Linked DNA regions of Anolis sagrei. The protein of the gene in region 1 purifies or fractionates together with the protein of each later gene. This does not show direct contact. Links are inferred from orthologs where the notes say so. Each region holds a gene or a part of one and is shown in the gene's direction. Other genes may lie near its edges.

Region 1 (7,477 bases):
TGAGGCCCACAAGCTGTTTTTCTATCGCTAGCCAGCAAGCGACGGAAGTTAAACCAATGGCGGGAAGACCCCGAGGAGTCACTTCCGCTTTCCAGCCTGTGTTTACTCATTAGACCTCACATATAAACAAACAACACCCCCCCCCCCCTTTTTCCCACACTGTCTGTCAAAGCTCTTGACGCAAAAAGTCCGAAATGGGCAGGCAATGAGGGACTCCAATTGGAGGCCAGTCTTAGGTGCCTGAGTTAATGCCTGACTTGAATACGCAGAGATGTGTTTATCTAGTGTAGAACAATAGACTGAAGTGTAGATTCACACACAGTTCTCCACTTTTGGGTTCATTGAAAGGACTTTCCAACTGAAATTATCCTACACTTTGGGATTTCCCTGATATGGGCAAACTTCTGCCCTCCGGGTGTTTTGGACTTCTAGATTATTGATGTGGCCATACCAGGTGACAGTTGCATTGAGGAAAACCTCATCCGTTATCAGGACCTCAATATTGAACTGCAAAGGCTCTGGCATAAACCAGTACGGGTGGTCCCAGTGGTCACTGGCGCACTGGGTGCCATGCCAAAAGATCTCAGACGGCATTTGGAAACAATTAACATCGACAAAATCACGATCTTTCAACTGCAAAAGGCCACCTTACTTGGATCTGCGTGCATCATTCGGCAATACATCACACAGTCCTAGATGCTTGGAAAGTGTTCGACTTGTGATTTTGAGATACGAAATCCAGCATATAGATCTCGTTTGCTGTGACATACTGTGCTTTTGTGTCAGTATAATAATAATAATAATAATATTTATTTATACCCCGCCACCATCTCCCCAAAGGGACGGCTTACATGAGGCCAAGCCCAATAATACAATTACAATAAAATGGGTTGTAGGTTTTTTCGGGCTGCATGGCCATGGTCTAGAGGCATTCTCTCCTGACGTTTCGCCTGCATCTATGGCAAGCATCCTCAGATAATGTTTTAATGTGTATGGTGCTGATATTTTAATCGTGTAATGAAGTGGCATTGTGTTGTTATTGTATATTTTTTGTATGTTAACACATGTTGTGAACCGGTCCGAATCCCTCTTTGAAGGTGAGAGGGTTGGTATATAAAACCTCGAAATAAATAATAATAAATCAGAGGTAGTGAGGTCTGTTGGAACTAGGAAAAGGGGTTTATATCTGTGTGGAATGACCAGGGTGAGACGAAGGACACTTGTCTGCTGGAGCTAGGTGTGAATGTTTCAACTAACCACCTTGATTAGCATACAATGGGCTGACTGTGCCTCGAGCAAACTTTTGTTGAGAGGTAATTAGATGTCCCTGCCTGCTTCCTCTCTGTTGTTGTGCTGTTTCAATTTTAGAGTTTTTTAATACTAGTAGCCAGATTGTGTTCATTTTCATGGTTTCCTCCTTTCTGTTGAAATTGTCCACATGCCAATAATACAATTACAATAAAATGAATACAAAACTGCAAAAATTGTTGTTGTTGTTCATTCGTTCAGTCATCTCCGACTCTTTGTGACCTCATGGACCAGCCCACGCTAGAGCTCCCTGTCGGCCGTCACCACCCCCAGCTCCTTCAAGGTCAGCCCAATCACTTCAAAGATGCCATGCATCCATCTTGCTCTTGGTCGGCCCCTCTTCCTTTTGCCTTCCACTTTCCCAGGCATAATTGTCTTCTCTAAGCTTTGCTGTCTCCTCATGATGTGGCCAGAGTACATCAACTTTGTCTCTAGTATCCTTCCCTCCAATGAGCAGTCGGGCTTTATTTCCTGGAGGATGGACTGGTTGGATCTTCTCGCAGTCCAAGGCACTCTCAGAACTTTCCTCCAACACCACAGCTCAAAAGCATCGATCTTCCTTCGCTCAGCCTTCCCTAAGGTCCAGCTCTCACATCCGTAGGTTACTACAGGGAATACCATTGCTTTAACTATGCGGATCTTCGTTGCCAGTGTGATGTCTCTACTCTTTACTATTTTATTGAGATTGGACATTGCTCTCCTCCCAAGAAGTAAATGTCTTCTGATTTCCTGGCTACAGTCTGCATCTGCAGTAATATTTGCACTTAGAAATACAAAGTCTGCCACTGCCCCCACGTTTTCTCCCTCTATTTCCCAGTTGTCAATCATGCTTGTTGCCATAATCGTTTTTTTAATGTTTAGCTGCAACCCAGCTTTTGCGCTTTCTTTTTTCACCTTGATTAGAAGGCTCCTCAGCTCCTCTTCTCTTCTGGCTATCAAAGTGTTATCATCTGCATATCTAAGGTTGTTAATGGGTTGTTGTAGGTTTTTCGGGCTATATGGCCATGTTCTAGAGGCATTCTCTCCTGACGTTTTGCCTGCATCTATGGCAAGCATCCTCAGAGATAGTGAGGTCTTTTGTAACTAGGAAAATGTGTTTATATATATGTGGAATGAGCAGGGTGGGACAAAGAACTCTTGTCTGTTGGAGCTAGGTGTGAATGTTTCAACTGACCACCTTGATTAGCATTTGATGGCCTGGCAGTTGTTTGGTGTGGCTTGTTGGTGCCCGGGGCAATCTTTTGTTGAGAGGTGATTAGATGTCCCTGATTGCTTCCCTTTATTGTTTTGCTGTTGTAATTTTAGTGTTTTTTAATACTGGTAGCCAGATTTTGTTCATTTTCATGGTTTCCTCCTTGAACTAAATCTGGCTACCAGTATTAAAAAAACTCTAAAATTACCACTGCAAAACAACAGAGGGAAAACAATATCACCTCTCAACAAAAGATTGCCCCCAGGCACCAACAAGCCACACCAAACAATACAATAATTAAAATGAAGAACAATTTTAACAAATATAAACTTATTAGTATTTCAATGGGAAGTGTGGGCCAGCTTTTGGCTGATGAGATAGGATTGTTGTTGTGTGCTTTCAGGTCATTTCAGACTTAGGTTGACCCTGAGCGAGGGCCGGGTAAATGACCTTGGAGGGCCGTATTCGACACCCGGGCCTTAGTTTGAGGACCCCTGCTCTAGAACATGGCCATACATCCCGAAAAGACCTACAACAACCTCGTGATTCCGGCCATGAAAGCCTTCGAAAGTAAGGTTAATGTTTCTTCCAGCAATTTTAACCCCAGCCTTGCATTCCTCAAGCCCCGCACATTGCATGATATGTTCTTGCTATAAGTTGAATAGGTTGGGTGAGAGTATACAACCCTGCCGTACCATGGTCAGTTCGTATTGTTGCTACTTGGTCCTTATAAACGTCCCCGGCCCAAATTACCTGTCCAAACGAATCTCCCTCTATGTACCATCGCGGAGAATAAGATCCTTCGGGGAGGCCCTGCTTTCCATCCCGCCATTGTCACAGGCGTGATTGGTGGGGACGAGAGACAGGGCCTTCTCGGTGATAGCTCCCCCGCCAATGGAACTCCCTTCCTTGTGAGATCAGGTCAGCCCCCTCCCTCCTGTCCTTTAGAAGGATGGTAAAAACTTGGCTGTGGGACCAAGCTTTCGGGACAGGGCAATGAAGCAACAATGGGAAAGATGACAGGGCCAGTTGGATTTGATGCGGATGGCTAGGACGGTTTTAAAATGTGTTATTTTAAATGGTGTATTTTAATATTTGTTGATGTTCATTCGTTCAGTCGTCTCCGACTCTTCGTGACCTCATGGACCAGCCCACGCCAGAGCTCCCTGTCGGCCGTTACCACCCCCTCAAGGTCAGTCCAGTCACTTCAAGGATGCCATCCATCCATCTTGCCCTTGGTCGGCCCCTCTTCCTTTTGCCTTCCACTTTCCCCAACATAATTGTCTTCTCTAGGCTTTCCTGTCTCCTCATGATGTGGCCAAAGTACTTCAACTTTGTCTCTAGTATCTTTCCCTCCAGTGAGCAGTCGGGCTTTATTTCCTGGAGGATGGACTGGTTGGATCTTCTCGCAGTCCAAGGCACTCAAGCTCCAGCGCCCCGGCAAGGCGGTGATCCTTTGCTGGAGATTTTAATATTTAGATAAATGATATTTAGATAAATGTTTTTTAATGTTTATGTATTGTATCCAGGCATTGAATGTTTGCCATGTATATGCTGTGCTCCACTCTGAGTCCCCTTTGGGGTGAGAAGGGCAGAATATAAATGTTTTAAATTGATAATAATAAATTATACAGATTCCTCAGGAGAGAGACAAGGTGATTCGGTATGCCCATACCACCAAGAACTTGTCACAAATGTATTATGATCCACATAGTCAAAGGCTTTAGAATAGCCAATAAAACAGAAATAGATGTTTTTCTGAAACTCCCTTCCTTTCTCCATTATTCAGTGAATATTGGCAATTTGGTCTCTCGTTCCATAAACAGTGCCCATAAGCAGTGGGAAAAATACTCCAAATACACCCGGAAGCATTCTCTGTGAGCTAAGCAATGCGTTTCTCTACAACTTCCTAGATCTATGAGTCAGCGTCCAATCAAACAGCACGGCTGAGGAACTCGGGGTTGTTTTTCGGCGCCGCCTGTGACGCAGCGCCAGCCCTGCTCGGGAAAGGACCCCGCTCGTCTATTGCGCTGCCTGCAAAAACAACCCCCACCACCAGCCCGGGTTGGCCTCGGGGTCTGTTTGCGGGAGCTCCGTGGGCCGGAGCGGCGGGAAAAAGTGGCCATGGACCAGTGCGTGACGGTGGAGCGCGAGCTGGAGAAGGTGCTGCAGAAGTTCTCGGGCTACGGGCAGCTCTGCGAGCGGAGCCTGGAGGAGCTGATCCAGTACGTGGCCGGACTGCGCCGCGAGATCCTCCAAAGCGAGAGTAGGTGCCCCCTCCCCTCCTCCCCCCCTCCGGTTGCCCTTGGCAACGAGGCCTACCTGTGGTCAGTCTCTCCTGGGAGCCCGGCGTTTGCGCTTCACTTGGTCAACGTGTCTTTGAAGAGAGGTTGGCGGGAAGGAAACTTCACTTATGGCTCGTTTGCATCAGCCTTCAAAGGGCCCTCAACTAGACTATACTTTTTGTCCATAGTGGTCAGTTCTCTTTAGTTTTGACCCAGTTTGCGTCCCCAGGTGTTTTTGAAGGCTAATTCCCATCCCTTTACATCAGTGTTTCTCAACCTGGGGGTCGGGACCCCTGAGGGGGTCGCGAGGGGGTGTCAGAGGGGTCGCCAAAGACCATAAGAAAACACAGTATTTTCTGATGGTCATGGGGATTCCATGTGGGAAGTTTGAGCCAATTCTATGGTTGATGGAGTTCAGAATGTTCTTTGATTGAAATGAACTATAAATCCCAGCAACTACAACTCCCAAATGTCAAGATCTATTTTCCCCGGACTCCACCAGTGTTCACATTTGGGCATATTGAGTATTCATGCCAAGTTTGGTCCAGATCCACCATTGCATGAGTCCACAGTGCTCTCTGGATATAGGTGAACTACAACTCCCAAATTCAAGGTCAATGCCCATCATAGAATCATAGAATCTAAGAGTTGGAAGAGACCTCATTGGCCATCCAGTCCAACCCCCTGCCAAGAAGCAGGAACATCGCATTCAAATAACCCCCGACAGATGGCCATCCAGCCTCTGTTTAAAAGCTTCCAAAGAAGGAGCCTCCACCACACTCTGGGGCAGAGAGTTCCACTGCTGAACGGCTCTCACAGTCAGGAAGTTCTTCCTCATCTTCAGATGGAATCTCCTCTCTTGTAGTTTGAAGCCATTGTTCCGCGTCCCAGTCTCCAGGGAAGTAGAAAACAAGCTTGCTCCCTCCTCCCTGTGGCTTCCTCTCACATATTTATACATGGCTATCATATCCCCTCTCAGCCTTCTCTTCTTCAGGCTAAACATGCCCAGCTCCTTAAGCCGTTCCTCCTAGGGCTTGTTCTCCAGACCTTTTATCATTTTAGTCGCTCTCCTCTGGATACATTCCAGCTTGTCAATATCTCTCTTCAATTGTGGGGCCCAGAATTGGACACAATATTCCAGGTGTGGTCTAACCAAAGCGGAATAGAGGGGTAGCATTACTTCCTTAGATCTAGACACTATGCTCCTATTGATGCAGGCCAAAATCCCATTGGCTTTTTTTGCCGCCACATCACATTGTTGGCTCATGTTTAACTTGTTGTCCACAAGGACTCCAAGATCTTTTTCACACGTACTGCTCTCGAGCCAGGCATCCCCCATTCTGTATCTCTATCAAACCCTTCCAATGTTATTCATTGGTCATGGGAGTCAAGTTTGGTTCAAATCCATCGCTGGTGGAGTTCGGAATGTTCTTTGATTATAAGTGAACTATAAATCCTAGCAACTACAACTACCAAATTACAAAATCAATCCTCGCCCAACCCCACTAGCATTCACATTTGGGTGTATTGGGTATTTGTGCCCAGTTTGGTCCAGTGAATGAAAATGCATCCTGCATATCAGATATTTACATTATGATTGATAACAGTAGTAAAATGACTTATGAAGTAGCAATGAAAACAATATTATGGTTGAGGGTCACCAGAACATGGGGGACTGGATTAAGGGGTCACGCCATTAGGAAGGTTGAGAACCACTGCTTTACATTGTCCGCCATACAGACTGAGGAGAATGGGAATTGCAACCCAACAACACTTGTGGCTGTGCGGTTAGGGGGAAAGGTCAGAGGACATTTTAAAGCCCAGCATCATTTTTACTATTTACTAGCCATCCCCTGCCACGCATTGCTGTGGCGGCCCACATCGGGGTTCTGTGTGGGAAGTTTGGCCCAATTCTATTGTTGGTGGGGTTCAGAATGCTCTGTGATTGAAGGTGGACTATAAATCCCAGCAGCTAGAACTCCCAAATGTCAAGATTCTATTTTCCCCAAACTCCACCAGTGTTCACATTTGGGCATATTGAGTATTCGTGTAGAGCAGGGATCCACGAACTTTTAAAACAGAGGGCCAGGTCACAGTCCCTCAGACTGTGGATGGCCGGATTATAATTTGGAAAAAAAGAATGAATTCCTATGCACACTGCACGTATCTTATTTGTAGTGCAAAAAACACTTTAGAACAGGGGTCCTCAAACTAAGGCCCGGGGGCCAGATGCGGCCCTCCAAGGTCATTTACCCAGCCCTCGCTGAGGGTCAACCTAAGTCTGAAACGACTTGAAAGCACACAACAACAACAATCCTATTTCATCAACCAAAAGCTGGCCCACACTTCCCATTGAAATACTAATAAGTTTATATTTGTTAAGATTGTTCATTTTAATTATTGTATTGGTTTCTAATTGTTTTTTTGCACTACAAATAAGATATGTGCAGTATGCATAGGAAGTCATTCATGTTTTTTCAAATTATAATCCGGCCCTCCAACAGTTTGAGGGACTATGACCTGGCCCTCTGTTTAAAAAGTTTGGGGACCCCTGCTTTAGAACAATACAATAATTAAAATGAAGAACAATTTTAACAAATATAAACCTATTAGTATTTCATTAGGAAGCGTGGGCCTGTTATTGGCTGATGAGATAGGATTGTTGTTGTTGTTGTGGTTGTGTGCTTTCAAG
Region 2 (7,163 bases), on another chromosome or scaffold:
CACAACCACCATGTCAGACTACACAGAGAAGCCACTGAAATCCATAAACATGTCGATAATGTCAACAGAAACCATGAAAATGAACAAAATCTGGCTGCCAGTAGTAAAACAAATATGTCTAAAATCAGGATAGTAAACAAAGAACAACAATCAGAGTCAGCTAACACCTCTCAAAAAAGGATCCCTCCAAGAACGCTGCAATTCAATGCCATTCAATGCTCCACGAAGGCAGCAGGCAGCAATCAGCTGCAAGGCCATTCAATGCCAATTGCAACATTCACACTTGCCTCCAGCAGACAAGAGTTCTTTCTCTCACCCTGGACATTATTCCATAGATATATACACCACTCTTGGGTTTGGAGTCTAGTGTCTAGATCTAAGGAAGCCATGCTCCCCATGCTCTATTCTGCTTTGGTTAGACCACACCTGGAATATTGTGTACAATTCTGGGCACCACAATTGAAGAGAGATATTGGAATGTGTCCAGAGGAGGGCAACTCAAAGGATCAAGGGTCTGGAGAACAAGCCCTATGAGGAGCGGTTTAAAGAGCTGGGCATGTTTAGCCTGAAGAAGAGAAGGCTGAGAGGAGATATGATAGCCATGTATAAATATGTGAGAGGAAGCCACAGGGAGGAGGAGGGAGCAAGCTTGTTTTCTGCTGCCCTGGAGACTAGGACACAGTGGCTTCAAACTACGATTTGATGTTTAATTGTTGATGATGCTATTGTTTTAACTGTCCCATAATCCTTTTATGATATTTTGCATTGTATTTTTGCTGCTGTTAACCGCTTTGAGTCGCCTGAGGGCTGAGAAAAGCGGTATATAAATGAAGTAAGTAAGTAAATAAATAAATACTAGGGCTGGGCGGTTTCGTTCGTTAATTTCGTACTTTGTTAATAATTCATATTTAAATTGGTTTACGATCCGATATTGAACCATTCAGGAGCAACTAAAAATCGAAACGAATTTTTAAAATTTATTTCGTAATTGTTTCGTAATTGTTTCGTTATTATTTCCGTATGTCTGGTGCAAGTTTTATAGTTGTTGTTTGTTTTATCAGTGATAAAAAAATAAATTATTTCACCAACAGTCAACAACAGAGGGAGAGGGAAGCTTCAGAAATTCCCCCTGTCCCATTTGGAGGGTTTTTTAGCGTATTGTGCAATCGCGTCCGCCATTAACGAATCGATTCGTTATTGTTTCGAAATTGTTTCGTAATTTCCGAAATTTCGTAAATTTTGAACTTTTTTAAAGAAAAATTTCAGAATTTTTTAAAAAAACGAAATGCAACCCCCCCTAAAAACGAATCGAGTTTAGAAACAAATTTTTTCGTGGTTGCCCAGCCCTAATAAATACAAGAAAGGAGATTTCATCTGAACATGAGGAAGAACTTCCTGACTGTGAGAGCCGTTCAGCAGTGGAACTCTCTGCCCCGGAGGGAGTGTGGAGGAGGCTCCTTCTTTGGAAGCTTTGAAACGGGCTGGATGGCCATCTGTCGGGGGTGCTTTGAACGTGATTTTCCTGCTTCTTGGCAGAACGGGGTTGGACTGCATGGCCCATGAGGTCTCTTCCAATTGTATGATTCTAAGAATCTTGCCTTGCTTCCAACAAACCTCACAACCTCTGAGGATGCCTGCCATAGATGTGGACGAAGCGTCAGGAGAGAATGCTTCGGGAACATTGGACATAAAACCTGGAAAACTCACAGTAATGTTTGGATTGTTGTCGGTTTTCCGGGCTATATGGCCATGTTCCCGAAGCATTCTCTCCTGACGTTTGGCCTACATCTATGGCAGGCATCCTCAGAGGTTGTGAGGTCATGATGTTTGGTTAACTAGAAAGCAATACGCTTGATGGTCACGAGGGGGCAGACATGATCCATTTTTATATGTCTTCATTGATAATAATATCATAATATATAATCCCTATTCACAAGCCAAACTGAGAGTCTAAAGTTTCAGCCAGGTTAGATGTTTGATTTGTGAAATAGTTGACTGTGTAGTTGTTTTGAATGGGGAGGCAATCCTCAAATCTGAATTGAAAATATCTGAGCGCTTGCTAGATTATAAAACTTACAGTTTTTATATCTAGGGACGGGATTGGGTGGAGGAGGAATTCAACCTTTGGCCTTAAAACTAAAGAGAAAGGCTGAGAAAAGGAGCCTAACGCGCCCGCCCGCCCGCCTTTCCTTCCCCGGCGGAGCCTCCTGTGAACCAAAAACTTTATCAAACGTTCGAACCAGTGCGCATGCGCGCCTGTATATTGGCTTGTTGCTGAGAGTGGCGAGGAGGGAGGGAAGAGGAGGAGAGGGCGGAGCCTCACCCAGGCCCCGCCCCCTATCGGAAGAAGCCAGATTTTGGGAGGGAGGAGGAGGAGTGCAGTTAAGGCCACGCCCCCTTTCTCGTAGCGTGCACGCGCTGTCGCCCCGAGGAGAGGGAGGCGGAGGGGAGAGTTTGGAGAAAGAGGAGGAGCACAGCGCACAGGCCACGCCCTTTTCCCGTGGTGCGCACGCGCCGAGGGCTGCCCGCCGAGAGGGAGGCGGAGCATTGCCGAGGCTCCGCCCTTGCTCCGCCCTTTTATTGAGTGGGAAAGCGGCGGAACGGAGGCGGAGCGATTAACAAAGCCCCGCCCCTCAAGCCGCCAGGAGGGAAGGGGGCGGAGCACAATTCGAGACCACGCCCCCATATTTTGCTCCGCCCGCTTTTGCGTAGCGGAGGGAAAGGAGGCGGAGCGAACCTCGAAGCCCCTCCGCCATGCAAAAGGGGCGGGGCGATGGCTCAGTGACAGGGAAGGGGGAGGGAAGGGAGGCGGAGCGAACCACGAGGCCCCGCCTCCTTTTGCGAGGCCGGGTGTTTAGCGGGAAGGCGTGGCTTAACACGAGGCTCCGCCCTCCTCTCCTTTTGCTAGGCCGTGTGTTCAGAGGGAAGGCGTGGCTTAATACCAGGCCCCGCCCTCTGCCTGCCCCTTTTGCGAGGCCGGGTGTTCAGAGTGACGGAAGGCGCTCCATCTAGTAGCCCCGCCTCCTTTTGTATTAGGGAGGAGGTGGAGCGAGACAAGAGGCCACGCCCCTTACGCAAAGAGTAACAGGGAAGGCGGGGCCGAACTTGAGGCTCCGCCCCCTCCCAAAGGAGTGAGAGAGGGAAGTCTGAGGAAAGGGAGGCGGAGCGAGACAAGAGGCCACGCCCCTTACGCAAAGAGTAATAGGGAAGGCGGGGCCGAACTTGAGGCTCCGCCCCCTCCCCGAGGTGTGAGAGAGGGAAGTCGGAAGTAAGGGAGGCGGAGCGAGTCAAGAGGCCACGCCCCTTAAGTATAGAGTAACAGGGAAGGCGGGGCCGAACTTGAGGCTCCGCCCCCTCCCAGAGGAGTGAGAGAGGGAAGTCTGAGGAAAGGGAGGCGGAGCGAGACAAGAGGCCACGCCCCTTATGCAAAGAATAATAGGGAAGGCGGGGCCGAACACGAGGCTCCGCCCCCTCCCAGAGGAGTGAGAGAGGGATGTCGGAGGAAAGGGAGGCGGAGCGAGACAGGAGGCCACGCCCCTTACGCAAAGAGTAATAGGGAAGGCGGGGCCGAACTTGAGGCTCCGCCCCCTCCCCCGAGGTGTGAGAGAGGGAAGTCGGAAGTAAGGGAGGCGGAGCGAGAGAAGAGGCCTCGCCCCTTAAGTATAAGGCGGGGCCGAACACGAGGCTCCGCCCCCTCCTCGATGAGTGAGAGAAGGAAGTCGGAGGAAAGGGAGGCGGAGCGAGAGAAGAGGCCACGCCTCCTACGCACAAGGAGGCGGGGCGACGTCTCATCTTCTAAGCTGTCAAGAAGAGTAACAGGGAAGGCGGGGCCGAACACGAGGCTCCGCCCCCTCGAGCTGTGAGGGAAGGAAGTCGGAGGAAAGGGAGGCGGAGCGAGAAAAGAGGCCACGCCCCTTACGCAGGGAGTAACAGGGAAGGCGGGGCCAAGAAGAGAGAGGAGTGAGGGAGGGAAGTCGGAGGGAAGGGAGGCGGAGCGGGAGAAGAGGCCACGCCCCTTACGCAAAGAGTAACAGGGAAGGCGGGGCCAAGAAGAGAGAGAGGAGTGAGAGGGACGTTCGAGCGAAGGGAGGCGGAGCTGAGCACTAAGCCCCACCCCTTTCTTGCTCCGCGCGTGCGCAGACGCAGCGGCAGCATCTCGGCGCCGGAGCTCCCCTCAGTCTGTCCGGAGCGGGCGTCGGAGGAGGACGTGAGGCGGAGGAGAAGGAAGAGAGAGAGGGGGCGACTCTCCGTTATTTACCTCAGGATTTCCCAATTGGACCCGGCTTCTTCTTCTTCTTCTTCTTGTATTATTATTATTTTTTGAGGGGATTGTTCAATTTCGGAGTGTGCCTGGCGATGTTTTTTTCCCCGGTGAAGGCCGCGTGAGGAGAACTTGGATCATGAGAAGGAGGCGCTGAGGGTGAGGATGGTGAGGCGAGGCCGCGGCCTGTGAAGGAGTGAGTGGAGCCTCCCGCCTGGCCGGCCTTGCTCGCTGCCTCTGCCCCGAAGATGGAGGCCGTGACGCGGGGGGGCTTCCACCCTCACCCGGGCTTGCAGAAGACGCTGGAGCAGTTCCACCTCAGCTCCATGAGCTCCCTGGGCGGGCCGGCCGCCTTCTCGGCCCGCTGGGCGCAGGAGATCTACAAGGGGGGAGGCGGCGGGGGAGGCCCCGGGAAGGAGGGCGCGGAGCTGCTGGCTCCCCCTCCGCCGGCGCCGCCCTCGGGCCCCTTCTTCCTGCCCTCGGACCGCTCCACGGAGCGCTGCGAGACCGTGCTGGAGGGGGAGACCATCTCCTGCTTCGTGGTGGGCGGAGAGAAGCGCCTCTGCCTGCCCCAGATCCTCAACTCCGTCCTGAGGGACTTCTCCCTCCAGCAGATCAACGCCGTCTGCGACGAGCTCCACATCTACTGCTCCCGGTGCAACGCCGACCAGCTCGAGATCCTCAAGGTAAGGACGCGGAGAAACCTCCGCCAGGCCTGGGCCCACTTGGGCCCTCCCTCCAGGGGGTTGGGACTACAACTCCCACCATTCCTAACAGCCTACTACAACTCCCACCATTCCTAACAGCCGGGCCCTCCCTCCAGGGGGTTGGGACTACAACTCCCACCATTCCTAACAGCCTACTACAACTCCCACAATTCCTAACAGCCGGGCTCTCCCTCCAGGGGGTTGGGACTACAACTCCCACCATTCCTAACAGCCTACTACAACTCCCACCATTCCTAACAGCCGGGCCCTCCCTCCAGGGGGTTGGGACTACAACTCCCACCATTCCTAACAGCCTACTACAACTCCCACCATTCCTAACAGCCTACTACAACTCCCACCATTCCTAACAGCCGGTAGGCTGTTAGGAATGGTGGGAGTTGTAGTAGGCTGTTAGGAATGGTGGGAGTTGGAGTCCCAACCCCCTGGAGGGAGGGCCCAAGTGGGCCCAGGCCTGGCACATTGCAATATTATACATTGGATCCTTGCTACTACAATATTATCATCATTATATTGTATTATTATTACATAATAATAATTGTATTATTATATTGTATTATTAGTACTATGTTATATTATTCTTGTTATTCTTATGTTGCATTATTAGTGTTATATATCAATATTATTGTATTATTAATATGACATTATTCTTGTATTAGCATTATATTACTATAATATTTCTATTATTATATTGTAATAGTATCATGTTATTTTACTATTCATCTTAATAATACAATAATATTAATATGACATTATTCCTGTATTAACATTATAGTACTATAATATTTCTATTATTATATTGTAATAGTACCATATTATTATATTATTCATATTAATACAATAATATTAATATGACATTATTCTTATATTAGTATAATATTACTATAATATTTCTATTATTATATTGTAATAGTATCATATTATTATATTATTCATATTAATAATACAATAACATTAATATGACATTCTTGTATTAGTATAATATTACTATAATATTTCTATTATTATGTTGTAATAGTACCATATTATTATAATATGGTACTACAACATAATACAAATAATATAGTAATATAATGCTAATACAAGAATAATGTCATATTAATAATACAATAATATTAATATATAACACTAATAATACAATACAATATAATAAAATGGTACTATTACAATGTAATACTAGAAATATTATAGTAATATACAAGAATAATGTCATATTAATATTGTATTATTAATATGACATTCTTGTATTAGCATTATAGTACTATAATATTTCCATTATTATATTGTAATAGTACCATATTATTATATTATTCATTTTTTATTATATTTTGTATTGTGTTATTAGTATTATATATATTATTGTATTAGTAATATTACATTATTCTTGTATTAGCATTATATTACTATAATATTTGTATTATTCTATTGTATATTAGTACTATATTATTATATTATTCTTGCATTATTATTATATTGTATTGTTAGTATTATACGTTATTCTTCTATTAGCATTATATTATTATATTGTATTAGTATTATATATTAATATAATATATTGCTATCCTGTAATATTATTAGTAACATTGCATGTATTATACAATATATTACATTATGAGCAATGCACAATATTAGTATGCTATCTTACTATGTTTTACTATACCACTATACTGCAATTTGATTAGTAGTATTATATGTAACATAATATACAATTATTATATTGTATTATTAGGATTATATTGTATTGCATTATGATAGCATCAATATTATATGTGTGTACAATATATTATGAGCATAGCATATAATATACAGTTATTATTAATATTATATTAAATTATAGTATTATCAATATTAGATGTATATAAAATATATTATGAGCACAGCACAATATTAGTATGGTATATTACTATATTGTAATATACCACTATATGGCAATATTCTTACTAATATTGCATGTAACATATAATATACCATTATTATATTGTATTATAATTAATATTATATTATTAGCATAGCACAATATTAGTATGATATAATACTATATTGTATTTTTTCACTTTATTGCAATATAATTAGTAATATTACATGTAATGTATAATATGCAATTATTGTATTATATTATAGCACAATAAATATAAACTCTCAGTATTTTATAGTTATTATTATAAAATATATTATAT
Region 3 (7,709 bases), on another chromosome or scaffold:
GCAAGCTGCTTGTGCAGATAGCACACCCACTAATCTTGCATGAGATAAAATGTGCACTTGTCTGTCTCTTTCGGTTTCTCTGTTCAAGCTTTGTAGAGCTGCTGCTGCTGCTTTGGCTTTCTGTGCCCGCTCCTTCCTTGGCTCATCAGCTGAGTCATGTCTTTAGAGAGATCTCCATCACGAAGGAGACACAAAGCTCTTCCTTGAAATCCCTGGTTGCCTGTCAGCTGCCACAATCAGGATCGTCTCCAAAGCAAAACAGTTTCCTTCTAGAACAGACGTGGGCAAACTTTGGCCCTCCAAGTGTTTTGGACTTCAAATCCCACAATTGGGATTTGAAATCCAAAACACCTGGAGGGCCAGAGTTTGCCCACGCCTGTTCTAGAAGGTGGTTTGGCATCTATTCATTTATGAAACTCTGTTCTTAGTATGTTGAGATGAGATATTGCATATATTTCTCAACTTTTATTTCTCATCTCTCTAATCTATCCAGCCTCTGCTTAAAAGCCTTCTCTGGAGGATTTTAAGCAAAGGCTGGATAGCCATCTGTTGGGAATGCTTTGATTGTGTCTTCCTACTGGAAGAAGAGGGTCAGACTGGATGGCCCTTGAAGTCTCTTCCAATTGTATGAATCCCATTATAGGGTAACTTTAGCATCACCATAAACTACAAATGGCCTGAAGACACACATCACCACCATTGTATCTCAATCTCAATATATTTGAATGACAAAATTAAACTATAGCTCTCAGTATCTTCACTAAAGTAAAAATTAAACTATAGAAGGTTCTCAGTATCTTCACTAAAGTAAAAAACTGATAGAGTACTTGTAATATGGAATAACTAAGCCAGATATGGAGCTCATAGATTATTCTGTATCTGTTGCAATATAGTCTGAGGCTGATAGATTCATCAATTATTTAGAGGGGATAGTGGGATTTCTTGTGGGATTTCCTGGGGCACAAAGTGATGAAGATTCAAGCCAGGGAAATGATGGTTCTCTCTGGGAAAAATCTGACTCAGAAAGTGCAAGACTTCAAGGTCAGTCAGAGGAGCCAGAAACCACAACATTAGACAAGGAGTTGTGTGAAGAGCTAAGTGATATGGTAGGCTCCCAGAGAAAAACACCTGGGGTTACAGAGATCAACAAAAGTCTTCATTTACAGATTAGAGCAGAAAATAGGCAGCACCATTCAGAGCGATTATGTGGGAAAGTTGGGGAAATATTTATGGGGAAAGGAAAGATTTCATGGCTTTCTATTAATTAACAAGTTGTTTACCTAAGGCAGTGGTTCTCAGTCTGTGGGTCCCCAGGTGTTTTGGCCTACAACTCCTAGAAATCTCAGCCAGTTTACCAGCTGTTAGGATTTCTGGGAGTTTAAGGCCAAAAACATCTGGGGAGCCACAGGTTGAGAACCACTGACCTAAGGGTTAGTTCAGGCAACCTAGCATTCGAGTGAGAAGCTAGGCCTGAGTTCTCTGGTTCTTGTTTCAAGTCAAGCCTTGGTTTTGGATTTAAGTATCCTGGAAGTTTTCTATGTTCTTCTTTTTGTATTCCTGCTCAAGTTTACTAAGTATACCTTTTGCTTGTGGACTTATGCTGTACTTGTGGGCTATTCCTGTGTTCCTTTGGGATCTGCATGAGGCATTTGGAACACTGTTTGGTTATCACCTATTGCTAACCCCTTTTTAGGTTATACATCTTCCTTCATTATTCCTGACTTTTCATATATTTTTATGTGTTTTTACAATAAATTGTTTGCTTATGTTGTGGACTCTTGTGTGATGCTGTGGTCTTAGGTGTTTTCAGTCCCGGGCTGCAACAGCATCTGGTTCCAGAACTGGTCTTAGCAAATGTCTTACAGGCATCTGGTATACACATGCTTCACTCCACTCTTCTGTGCCTGGTTTCAATTTGGTTTATGTGCCACCATGCCTTATACTTGCATATTCTGCTGGCTTTAGTCACTGTTTTAGTGCATCATGGCTCTGCTATGTATTTTTCAGAGTCCCTGCATCGTCCAGAGAGTTTTGATTAGTGCCCTGAAAATCAGTTGGCCTGCTTAACCGCTGTGAGAACAGCTTGATTGACTTAATAGAGTCTGCATCTGATTTAACACTTCTCAAAAAGTTCATAACCCAGACTTTTATCTGCAGAAGTGATGGAATAAGCCCAAAGTCCAATTATTTGGTAAATAAAAATGTAATGTTCGTTCGTGGGATTAAAAGAACTTAAAAACTACTGGATGAATTGACACCAAATTTGGACACAAGATACCTAACAACCCAATATATGTCCTTCACTCAAAAAATTGATTTTGTCATTTAGGAGTTGTAGTAGCTGGGATTTATAGTTCACCTACAATCAAAGAGCATTCGGAACCCTACCAACGATGGAATTGAACCAAACTTGGCACACAATTCTCCCATGACCAACAGAAAATACTAGAAGGGCTTGGTGGGCAGTGTCCTTTGGTTTTGGAAGTTGTAGTTCACCTACATCCAGAGAGCACTGTGGACTCAATGATGGATCTGGACCAAACTCTATACGAATACTCAATATGCCCAAACGTCGACGCTGGTGGAGTTTTGGGAAAATAGAATCTTGACATTTGGGAGTTGTAGTTGCTGGGATTTGTAGTTCACCCACAATCACAGAGCATTCTGAACCCCACCAACGATAGAATTGGGCCAAACCTCCCACACAGAACACCCAAGACCACCAGAGTGGGCCACAGCAACGCGTGGCAGGGGATGGCTAGTATAATATATAATAATAATATTGTAATATAGCAATACTAATATATTAAACATAATTAGTTCTGATACTATATAATAATATATAATGATATACTGTTCTATTATTGTATATTTGTATATTTGAAGTTGTAATGTTTTTGATCGTGAGTCTCCGTATGGCAAGATAAAGAAGGATATCATAGAATCATAGAATCATAGAATCAAAGAGTTGGAAGAGACCTCATGGGCCATCCAGTCCAACCCCCTGCCAAGAAGCAGGAATATTGCATTCAAATCACCCCTGACAGATGGCCATACAGCCTCTGCTTAAAAGCTTCCAATGAAGGAGCCTCCACCACACTCCGGGGCAGAGAGTTCCACTGCTGAACGGCTCTCAGAGTCAGGAAGTTCTTCCCAATGTTCAGATGGAATCTCCTCTCTTGTAGTTTGAAGCCATTGTTCCATTGCATCCTAGTCTCCAAGGAAGCAGAAAGCAAGCTTGCTCCCTCCTCCCTGTTGCTTCCTCTCACATATTTGTACATGGCTATCATATCTCCTCTCAGCCTTCTCTTCTTCAGGCTAAACATGCCCAGTTCCCTAAGCCGCTTCTCATAGGGCTTGTTCTCCAGACCCTTGATCATTTTAGTCGCCCTCCTCTGGACACATTCCAGCTTGTCAATATCTCTCTTGAATTGTGGTGCCCAGAATTGGACACAATATTCCAGATGTGGTCTAACCAAAGCAGAATAGAGGGGTAGCATTACTTCCTTAGATCTAGACACTATGCTCCTACTGATGCAGGCCAAAATCCCATTGGCTTTTTTTGCCGCCACATCACATTGTTGGCTCATGTTTAACTTGTTGTCCACGAGGACTCCAAGATCTTTTTCACATGTACTGCTCTCGAACAAAAATAAATAGTTGTGAACAGCCCAACTTGCTAAACTCTTGGCAGTTGGCCACGGTAGTACACGCTTTGGTTACATCCCGCTTAGACTACTGCAACGCTCTCTACGTGGGGTTGCCTTTGAAGACTGCCCGGAAGCTGCAGCAAGTCCAACGTGCGGCAGCCAGATTACTAACGGGAGCAGGGTACAGGGAGCACACCACTCCGCTGTTACGCCACCTCCACTGGCTGCCAATTAGCTTCCGAGCACAATTCAAAGTGCTGGTGTTGACCTATAAAGCCCTAAACGACTCCGGCCCTGTTTACCTCTCCGAACGTATTCTCCCCTACGAACCATCAAGATTATTAAGATCATCTGGAGAGGCCCTGCTCTCGGTCCCACCGGCCTCGCAAGCGCGCCTGGTGGGGACGAGGGACAGGGCCTTCTCGGTGATGGCCCCGCGACTTTGGAACTCTCTCCCTCTGGAGGCCAGAACCGCCCCATCCATCCTAACATTTAGGAAACGGGTGAAGAGGTGGCTGTGGAGTCAGGCCTTCGATGAATGAGACAACACCATAGGACCCTGGATGGAAGTTGATGTAGATCCATCTTAATAGGACGACTGACCACTGTAGTTTTATATATAGTGTTTTTAAAGTTGTTTTTGTAATTTGTGATATATGATATTTTAATGAATGTATATGTTTTTTATGGCTGGAAACCGGGCGGAGTCCCTCAATGAGGTTGAGAAGCTCGGTATAGAAAACTGTGAAATAAATAAAATAAATAAGTTGAATAGCCCTGAGCATCCAAAATGCGCTGCGGGCCCTTTAAGAGCAGCCATTTGCTCCCCTTTGCTCTCCATCCAGTTTCCCTCCCCTCTTTGAAAGAGATAGTTAAAATTTACAAAAACTTCCGGCTCCCAAGCGACGCTCTTTAAAGGTCTTGCGGGTTTATATGTAATCTTGGAATAGGAGGAGGTCAACACAAGGCGATGGGGAACCGGACGTGTCGTCTCGCGCATGCGCAATGCCGACGCTCCGTTGCTTCTCTAGCGGATCCTCTTTTGATGACAAAATGGCGGCGGCAGCGGCGTCGGCGGCGGGCCCTCCCGGTTTAGGCTTCGATTTCGGCCCGAACAGCGCCCTCGAGAGCCGCGCCTTGGCCTACACGTTGCACCGATGGAGCAGCTTCTCCTCCACTTATTTGCCGGAGTGAGTCGAGGGGGAAGGGCCGAGGAGCGAGGAGGAAGTCAGGGGAAGGCCTCGGAAGCCTGCCCCGCCCCCTCCTGAGGGGAGGCCAGGGACTAGGCCTCTAGAGCAGGCCTGGGCCAACTTGGGCCCTCCAGGTGTTTTGGACTCCAACTCCCACCATTCCTAACAGCCTACTACAGTTGCCAGAAGCCCCCAGCCTGCATTTGCAGGCTGGGGGCTTCTGGGAACTGTAGTAGGCTGTTAGGAATGGTGGGAGTTGGAGTCCAAAACACCTGGAGGGCCCAAGTTGGCCCAGTCCTGCTCTAAATTGAATGCACTTTGACACCACTTTGAACTGCCATTCCCCAATGCTGTCCTATCCTAGGACTTACAGTTTGGTGAAGCAACCTTGGGAAACTACATTTCCCAAGATTCCATAGCATTCACCCATAGCAATTAAAGGTGTGTGTGTGTGTCTCGAACCTCATTATTTTCCCAACCAAAAGAGATGCCATAACAAAAAGGAATATTACAGGTGGGGCCTTTTTGTATCAGGAATCTTGGCACCCTAAATTCAGAGTGGCGTTGAACTGCATTAATTCTACAAATAAGACTTTATATGTAACCAAAGGACATTTAACCAACTACCAAACTCACAAGTTTTGTATTTGTCTGTTTGTTCTGTTACAAATGTAATATAATGGACTGGTTGCTCTGACACAACAAATAAATAAATAAATAAATAAAATTTGTAACCCACCCTATCTCCCCAAAGGGACTCAGAGCAGATTTCAACAAACAAACGATAAACATTCAGTGTATTGTATTGTCGAAGGCTTTCATGGCCGGAATCCATGGGTTGTTGTAGGTTTTTCCGGGCTATATGGCCATGTTCTGGAGGCAATTTTTCTCCTGACGTTTCTCCTGCATCTATGGCAAGCATCCTCAGAAGTATGGCAGCGGCCAAACACGAATCAAGGAACATGAAAGGCACTGCAGACCACTTCACCCAGAGAAGTCAGCCATAGCAAAGCACCTGATGAATCAACCTGGACACAGTATATTATTTGAGAACACAGAAATGCTGGACCACTCTCACAACCACCATGTCAGACTACACAGAGAAGCCATTGAAATACACAAGCATGTGGACAATTTCAACAGAAAGGAGGAAACCATGAAAATGAACAAAATCTGACTAGAAGTATTAAAACACTCTAAAATTAGAACAGCACAACAACAGAGAGGAAACAAACAAGGACATCTAATCACCTCTCAACAAAAGATTGCTCCAGGGACTGCCAGGCATTCAAATGCTAATCAAGGTGGTCAGTTAAAATATTCACACCTAGCTCCAACATAGAATCATAGAGTTGGAAGAGACCTCATGGGCCATCCAGTCCAACCCCCTGCCAAGAAGCAGGAATATTGCATTCAAATCACCCCTGACAAATGGCCATCCAGCCTCTGCTTAAAAGCTTCCAAAGAAGGAGCCTCCACCACACTCCGGGGCAGAGAGTTCCACTGCTGAACGGCTCTCACAGTCAGGAAGTTCTTCCTAATGTTCAGATGGAATCTCCTCTCTTGTAGTTTGAAGCCATTGTTCCGCGTCCTAGTCTTCAAGGAAGCAGAAAACAAGCTTGCTCCCTCCTCCCTGTGGCTTCCTCTCACATATTTATACATGGCTATCATATCTCCTCTCAGCCTTCTCTTCTTCAGGCTAAACATGCCCAGTTCCCTAAGCCGCTCCTCATAGGGCTTGTTCTCCAGACCCTTGATCATTTTAGTCGCCCTCCTCTGGACATTTTCCAGCTTGTCAACATCTCTCTTGAATTGTGGTGCCCAGAATTGGACACAATATTCCAGATGTGGTCTAACCAAAGCAGAATAGAGGGGTAGCATTACTTCCTTAGATCTAGACACTATGCTTCTATTGATGCAGGCCAAAATCCCATTGGCTTTTTTTGCCGCCACATCACATTGTTGGCTCATGTTTAACTTGTTGTCCACGAGGACTCCAAGATCTTTTTCACACGTACTGCTCTCGAGCCAGGCGTCCCCCATTCTGTATCTTTGCATTTCATTTTTTCTGCCAAAGTGGAGTATCTTGCATTTGTCACTGTTGAACTTCATTTTGTTAGTTTTGGCCCATCTCTCTAATCTGTCAAGATCGTTTTGAATTCTGCTCCTGTCCTCTGGACTATTGGCTATCCCTCCCAATTTGGTGTCGTCTGCAAACTTGATGATCATGCCTTCTAGCCCTTCATCTAAGTCGTTAATAAAGATGTTGAACAGGACCGGGCCCAGGACGGAACCCTGCGGCACTCCACTTGTCACTTCTTTCCAAGATGAAGAGGAAGCATTAGTGAGCACTCTCTGTGTTCGTCCACTTAACCAATTACAGATCCACCTCACCGTAGTTTTGCCTAGCCCACATTGGACTAGTTTCCTTGCCAGAAGGTCATGGGGGACCTTGTCGAAGGCCTTACTGAAATCCAGGTACGCTACATCCACGGCATTCCCTGCATCTACCCAGCTTGTAGCTCTATCGAAGAAAGAGATCAGATTAGTCTGGCATGACTTGTTTTTGATAAATCCATGTTGACTATTAGCGATGACTGCATTTGTTTCTAAGTGTTTGCAGACCACTTCCTTAACAATCTTTTCCAGAATCTTGCCCGGTATCGACGTGAGGCTGACCGGACGGTAGTTGTTTGGGTCGTCCTTTTTTCCCTTCTTGAAGATTGGGACCACATTGGCCCTCCTCCAATCTGCTGGAACTTCTCCCGTTCTCCAAGAACTCTCAAAGATGGTTGCCAATGGTTCCGAAATGACTTCAGCTAGTTCCTTCAATACTCTGGGGTGTAGTTGATCTGGCCCTGGGGACTTG
Region 4 (6,915 bases), on another chromosome or scaffold:
GCAAGTTTGTAGCTTGGAAGCAGTGCATTTGGTGCACCCTCCTCTCCTAAAGGACTTGGGATGCTGGGAGTTGTCATTGACACGCATGCGTTGTATTGTCATTTACTTTTTTGGGGTTTTTAGGTCCTTTCTGCTGTTTTTTTGGGAGAGGTTTATGAGTGATGGTCACTCGTTGGTTTGGTAGGGGTGTAGTGTCCAAATTTTGTGTCAATCCGTCCAGTGGTTTTTGAGTTATGTTAATCCCAAACAAACATCACATTTTTATTTATATAGATTATTATTTATTATTCAAACTGGTTTACAGTAAAACCATTGCAATACAATTTAAAATGTAAAAATATACAAACATTAAAATAGAATAAAATATTAATGGTATTAAAATAGAAAAAAATCAATTATATTAAAAACAAACAGTTAAACTGTGTAAGAACCCAATCCTATCTCCCCCCTGATTGAACTCTACAATGAACTCTCAGACCCCTTCTACACTGCCAGATTATCTGCTTTGAACTGGATTATATGGTGGTGTAGACTCATACAATCCAGCGCAAAGCAGATAATGTGGATTATTTGCTTTGATAACTTGAATTATATGGCAGTGTAGAGGGGGCCTCAGTTAACTGGTGAAAAAAATCAAATAAATATTATTTTAAATAATAAAAAGCGGTTTTTATAATACAGTAAAACTGTGTTAAATTAAGTTTGTTTTAGGACCTCATCACACTGTGTTACTTTTGTACTAGTGATATTTTCATGTTCAGGGAGAGAGAGAAAACATGTAAAATGGTATGCTCTCCCCTGTGCTGCCTCTAATGGCAAAAGAGTGAGCAGAGTCCTATTTTGCACCAATATAGGACAACATACTGTACTATATGTTATTTGAAATACCAGTTGGTGGTAAATCAGCAGAAGGACAAGTTTTCCCTACCTATTACTGACATTGTAACTGAAGCCTACTGTATTGTCTCAAGGTTTCAAGTGGAGGAATGTTATAAGCTTAAGTGGAAAAAAAACCCTTCTTCACTTCATTCAGGATCTGTCTATACAGCCAGGCCTCCACATTTGCTGGGGTTAAGGCCACAGGCCTCACGTGAAAGGGAAAACCCATGAATAAAGAAGAGATTCCCAGGGAGATAGTTTTTAATCTGATGCATGAATTGAATAACCAACTCCGCAAAAGTCAAAATTGCAAATGTGGAGGAATGACAGTGTGCATGCATGCATTTTCCCATTCTGTATGTATATATGTATTCTATGATATACACACACACATATTTTGTGTACAGGTAGTCCCCAAATTACGAACAAGATAGGTTCTGTAGGTTTGTTCTTAAGCTGAATTTGTATGTAAATCAGAACAGGTACATTTTAAAGTGTAATTCCAGCCAAATATACATATTGTTTAGTTTGGATAGAATAGTGAAGGGTTGACGTCCCTGTGGTGCTTGTTTTGTTGCCTGTGTCCCTGTTCAGAAAATTTCACCTCACTTTCTGCCCCTGGAATAGTTGGATTTTGAAAAATGTGGCTTTGTAGAAATAAGGATGCGTGAGAAAGCTTCAGTAGAGACACATTTCTACCATGATAATAGCTCTTCCAGGAGTGAATTTCCCTTTCTGGGGACAGATTTCTCTCACTTCCTGTTGTCTTGGCCCTGTTCTTAACTGTGAGTTGTTTATAAGCCAGATGTTTGTAACTTGGGGACTGCCTGTGTGTATGCATATGTGTGTGTGTGTATATACACATACATACATAGGTAAAGGTAAAGGTTTTTCCCTGACATTAAGTCTAGTCATGTCCGACACTAGAGGGTGGTGCTAATCTCCATTTCTAAGTCGAAGAGCCGATGTTGTCCGTAGACACCTCCAAGGTCATGTGGCCAGCATGACTGCTTGGAGCACCGTTACCTTCTCGACGGAGCAGTACCTATTGACCTACTCATATTTGCATGTTTTCCAACTGCTAGGTTGGCAGAAGTTGTGGTTCATAGCAGGAGCTCACACTGCTACTCAGATTTGAACCGCTGACCTTTTGGTCAGCAAGTTTAACCCACTGTGCCACCAGGGGCTCCATATATGTACACACACACACATATATATATCTTCATGTACACACATACATATATGTACATATAAATGAGAAAAAGCAAAGAGATATGCAAACTCAGCCCCACTTGTTGCAAAATTTTTGCAAACAACACAAGTCTCTTCTCATTCAGAATATATACTTACTTATTTAGGTGACCTGTCATTGGGCGAGTAGGATAGTCTTCCAGGATCAGTATTCTTGTGGATCCGTAGGTGACTGTGGAGCCCTATTCTTGACCTGCATCTTTTCCCACAGTGAGGGCATTGGTTTCCAGGTGGAAGGCGGTCTCGGTCAGGGTTGGCGTGACACATCTTCCTCTTGGTACGTTTCTCTCTTTCACCCTCCATTCATGCCTCTTCAAATTCTGCAGCACTGCTGGTCACAGCTGACCTCCAGCTGGAGCGCTCAAGGGCCAGGGCTTCCCAGTTCTCAGTGTCTATGCCACAGTTTTTAAGGTTGGCTTTGAGCCCATCTTAAAATCTCTTTTCTTGTCCACAAACATTCTGTTTTCCGTTCTTGAGTTCGGAGTAGAGCAGCTGCTTTGGGAGACGGTGGTCGGGCATCCGGACAACGTGGCCGGTCCAGTGGAGGACCATCGCTTCAATGCTGGTGGTCTTTGCTTCTTCCAGCACGCGGATGTTTGTCCGCTTGTCTTCACAAGAGATTTGCAGGATTTTTCAGAGACAGAGCTGATGGAATCATTCCAGGAGTTACATGTGACATCTGTAGACAGTCCACGTCTTGCAGGCATATAGCAGGGTTGGGAGGACAACAGCTTTATAAACAAGCCCCTTGGTATCCCTACGGATGTCCCGGTCCTCAAACACTCTCTGCTTCATTTGGAAAAATGCTGCACTCGCAGAGCTCAGGCGGTGTTGTATTTCGGTGTCGATGTTGACTTTGGTGGAGAGGTGGCTGCCAAGGTAGCGGAAATGGTCAACATTTTCTAAGCTGTATCTCTGGCATTGGAGAGGGGTTGGCTGGTGACGTGGACTGTCTACAGACGTCACATGCAACTCCTGGAACGATTCCATCAGTGCTATTTCTGGAATAGGAAAACTCCAGCATTATGTCCCTGAAGCACTTTATTACAGTTGTAAGATTCTCTGCACATTGCACTTGTCCTGAAATCCAACATACCACCTGTCACACCCAGCACTTTTTAATCTGTACCCATTACTTGGCCTGGCCCTAGTTTTTACTGTGTTATGGTGTAACGTTTTGTTGTTATTGCTTTATGTTTTTGATTTGCTTTGAGTTGTATTTGTTATGCTGTTGTTGTGTTGAGGCCTTGGCCTTTGTATGCCGCATCGAGTCCTTCGGGAGATGCTAGCGGGGTACAAATAAAGTTTAATAATAATAATAATAATTGGTTGGTGTCTGCTCGAACAGCACTTTGGTTTTCTTAATGTTCAATGACAGGTCGAGTTTCTCGTATGCTTCTGCAAAGGTGTTTATATATACAGAATATAAAGAATATATATACAGTATACATACACATTTCTGAATGAAAATATACAGTATACACACACATATATTCTGAATGAGAATATATATATTGCACACACACAAACCTACACACATATATATGTATGTACACACATACATATATATATATATTCTGAATGAGATGAGGCTTGTGTCGTTTTCAGAAGTTTTACAAGTGGGGCCAAGTTTGCACACTTCTTTGCTTTTTCTCATTGACTAAAGCGCGCACCCGCCCTCTCTCCACTTTCCAGGACCGCGCCGACGTCACCGCGCCTGCGTGTGCGCGCGCGTAATAGCACTGTCCTACCTACCAGCAGCAGCAGAGACAGCAGCCTTCTTTCCCCTCAGCTCGAGCGGAGCCGCGTTCGTCTCGAGGGTGGGTGCGCGCGCCCTCACTCACTAACTCACTCACTCGCGCGCCCGTTCCCTCGCGCCGCCAGCTCATGTCGTCACCGCCGACGTCATCCTCCCCGCCTTTCGTCACTTCCAACCCCTTCTTCCTCGTCCTCGCGCGAGCTCAGTTGCTTTCCGTCAGCCGAGGCAGCCGCGACTCCTCCTCCTCCTCTTCTCCCCCCTCAGACTGTCACTCCGGTTTCGGGCTGTTCTCCGTGTAGACACCCTTTCCTCCCCTTGCCGTCGAGGGCGGACGAGGCCGGCATGTCCGGGCAACAACAACAGCAGCAGCAGCAGCAGCCTCCGCCACCGGCCACGGCTCCCCCTCCTCCTCCTCCCCCGCCGCCTCCTCCGCCGCCACCTCAAGCGCCGGCCCACACAGGCCCGTCCCCGCTGCTGCTTCACCCGCCGCCGCCACCTCCGCCCGCCACCTCGGCCCCGCCGCCGCCTCCTTCTTCGGCCTCCTCGTCTTCCGCCTCCATGGCAGCCGGGAGCGGGGCCCCGTCCGCCTTCCCTCACGGCGGCGGCGGCGGCGTTGGCGTTAGCGTCGGGGACCCGGCCCTGAACGAGCAGGAGAAGGAGCTCCAGCGCCGCCTCAAGCGCCTCTACCCGGCCGTGGACGAGGGGGAGACGCCGCTGCCCCGCTCCTGGAGCCCCAAGGACAAGTTCAGCTACATCGGCCTCTCGCAGAACAACCTGCGCGTCCACTACAAAGGTGAGCAGCCAGCCCAAGGCCCAGGAGCAGGCCCGGGACCAGGCCCCGGAAGGAGGGAGGGAGGGAGGGCGCGCTCCCCTCTCCCCCCCCCCGCGCGTGCACCCCGATTTCCAACAATGCTGCCCCCTCCCTTTCTTCTTCAATACATAGCAGTTTCCCCCTCCCTCTCCTTCTCTCCTTCGGAGGACAATAGTCACCCCCCCCCCCCTTCTCACACGGATCCCCTCTTCCATTTTGGGCCTTCCTGCCTCCTTCCTCGGCCTCGGGTGGGATTTTGAGCAATCTGGCCTGTTCTCTAGGAAACTAGGCCTGGGATTATTGTTATTCCCCTTTCGCGTTAAACCAGATCCTTCTGCCTCTGGTCTTAATAGGGTATGAAAGAGAAATGGGGTGGGATCTGTGGCGTTAATCTCTGCGGTTATTTCCTCCCCTTTAATAAGCATATACAAGTTTGTGTGTGTGTTTATATATATAAATATATATATGTATCCTGTGTATGTGTTTATATATCTATATCTTAGTATATATTCTCTGTGTGTTTGTGTATTGTGTATCTATGTCTATATCTTAGTAGCATATATGTGTGTTTATATATACATACATACATACATATATATACATACATATATATGTTTGTATACTGTATAACATATTCCTTACTATCATAGATAGATAGATGAGTATATACCAGTAGTATATAGATGATAGATAGATGAGTATATACAAACTTTGGCCCTCCAGCTGATTTGGACTTCAGCTCCCATAATTCCCATAAATGTTTTGAAGTCCAAAATGCCTGGAGGGCCAAAGTTTGCCCATGCCTGGTATATACTGTATATATGATATTCCTGTCTTAATCATATGTGTGCGTGTGAATATATTCATGTTTATTAGTAGCATATGTGTGTGTGCAGTGTTCCTTTCTTTGTCTGTGTGTGTATACAATCCTTAGTAGCACATATTTGTGAATGTGTTTATCTGTATTCCTTTCCTAGTAGCACTTATTTGTGTGTATATATATTTATATTCCTTTCTTAGCATATATTTGTAAGTGTGTGTATATTTGTATTCCTTTCTTAGCATATTTTTGTGAGTGTGTGTATATCTGTATTCCTTTCTTAGTAGCATATATTTGTGAGTGTGTGTGTGTATGTGTGTATATATATATATATATCTTAGTAGCATATTTGTGTATACACACACTCCTTGGTAATGTGTGTGTATTTGTGTATTCCTTCCTTAGTAGCATCTTGCGAAGAAGCTCACATAGGGGAACGGAGGGAGGGGGAAATGTGGAAAAATAGAACAACAGGAAGTAACTCTCATTGGGTCTTCTGAACAGTTTCGGAAACCCAAGTGGAGACAATCCGACTTTATCCCTCCCTCTGCGATTGCTTCTCTCCACCCATCAAACATGTAAGGATGTTTTGCTTTCTGCTTTGGGTTAGAGGAGGATATATAAACTGGCAGGTTTTCTGCTGCCCGCCTGATCAGTTCTCTTGCTAAATCACAGCTTGGGGTCAGGGGAGGAGAAAGCAAGCCAGTCAGTGTGACGTGTCCAATTAAAAATAACCAGTTAGGGCAAGGAATGTGTGTTTGTTTAGCAAGAGAGCAAAGGTCAGCTGAAGTTGGAAGAACAAATGTAGGAGAAGAAAGGTTTTTGAGGAGAAAGGTTAGAGAACCATTGTTTATTTCTGGGAATTTTGTCTATGGCATTGTGCTTGCTTATGAACAATACAATTCAAAGTTCAGTCAATGTTAGTTCTTCAATTTCAGATTCCCCTGTATTTTAATCTAATCTTCCCCATAAATTTCATGAGTCAATAATGGAGAAAGTAAATTTCATATCAAGGAAACTGAATTATCCACTCTGCTGGGATTTCTTGCCTCACATAGTATTTTCCTTTTATATGTGTAGCAAAAATGATGTGTATAAATAGGACCAAATAGGCAACAACTGCCAACTACTTGCCTTACAACTATGATAGTAAAGCCCAAAGAACACAAATGAATACAAACCTGGAAAGCACACATCCAGATAATCTTCTGAGTTATGAAAGGCAGGCTTTGGTAAAATTGTCTAATGAGTATAGGAAAGGATGGGAGACAGAGCCAATGTGTTGTTCTTGTCCAGAGTACAAAATGATGTCATTCAAGTCAGTTTTTCATAAACTCGAGTCTTTGCTCAAAGCACAGTTATCCTTCCTTATCCATGGATTCAGTCATCAATTGT

Evidence for each region.
Region 2: the proteins of RMND5A (region 1) and SKI purify together in Homo sapiens (affinity purification with mass spectrometry; 3 studies listed by BioGRID and IntAct, counting the BioPlex papers as one, with this or other methods). This does not show direct contact. The link is inferred for Anolis sagrei from reciprocal best matches to the Homo sapiens genes RMND5A and SKI.
Region 3: the proteins of RMND5A (region 1) and MKLN1 purify together in Homo sapiens (affinity purification with mass spectrometry; 4 studies listed by BioGRID and IntAct, counting the BioPlex papers as one, with this or other methods). This does not show direct contact. The link is inferred for Anolis sagrei from reciprocal best matches to the Homo sapiens genes RMND5A and MKLN1.
Region 4: the proteins of RMND5A (region 1) and RANBP9 purify together in Homo sapiens (affinity purification with mass spectrometry; 9 studies listed by BioGRID and IntAct, counting the BioPlex papers as one, with this or other methods). This does not show direct contact. The link is inferred for Anolis sagrei from reciprocal best matches to the Homo sapiens genes RMND5A and RANBP9.

What each region holds. Positions count from the first base shown.
Region 1 is NC_090026.1:52,496,214-52,503,690, forward strand, and holds the start of RMND5A (E3 ubiquitin-protein transferase RMND5A), read left to right. Parts: upstream 1-4,466; 5' UTR 4,467-4,624; coding exon 4,625-4,766; intron 4,767-7,477.
Region 2 is NC_090033.1:1,176,628-1,183,790, reverse strand, and holds the start of SKI (ski oncogene), read left to right. Parts: upstream 1-4,153; 5' UTR 4,154-4,509; coding exon 4,510-4,947; intron 4,948-7,163. UniProt on the Homo sapiens protein: May play a role in terminal differentiation of skeletal muscle cells but not in the determination of cells to the myogenic lineage. Functions as a repressor of TGF-beta signaling.
Region 3 is NC_090025.1:190,751,812-190,759,520, forward strand, and holds the start of MKLN1 (muskelin), read left to right. Parts: upstream 1-4,686; 5' UTR 4,687-4,703; coding exon 4,704-4,840; intron 4,841-7,709. UniProt on the Homo sapiens protein: Component of the CTLH E3 ubiquitin-protein ligase complex that selectively accepts ubiquitin from UBE2H and mediates ubiquitination and subsequent proteasomal degradation of the transcription factor HBP1.
Region 4 is NC_090024.1:80,067,046-80,073,960, reverse strand, and holds the start of RANBP9 (ran-binding protein 9), read left to right. Parts: upstream 1-3,903; 5' UTR 3,904-4,231; coding exon 4,232-4,682; intron 4,683-6,915. UniProt on the Homo sapiens protein: May act as scaffolding protein, and as adapter protein to couple membrane receptors to intracellular signaling pathways. Acts as a mediator of cell spreading and actin cytoskeleton rearrangement.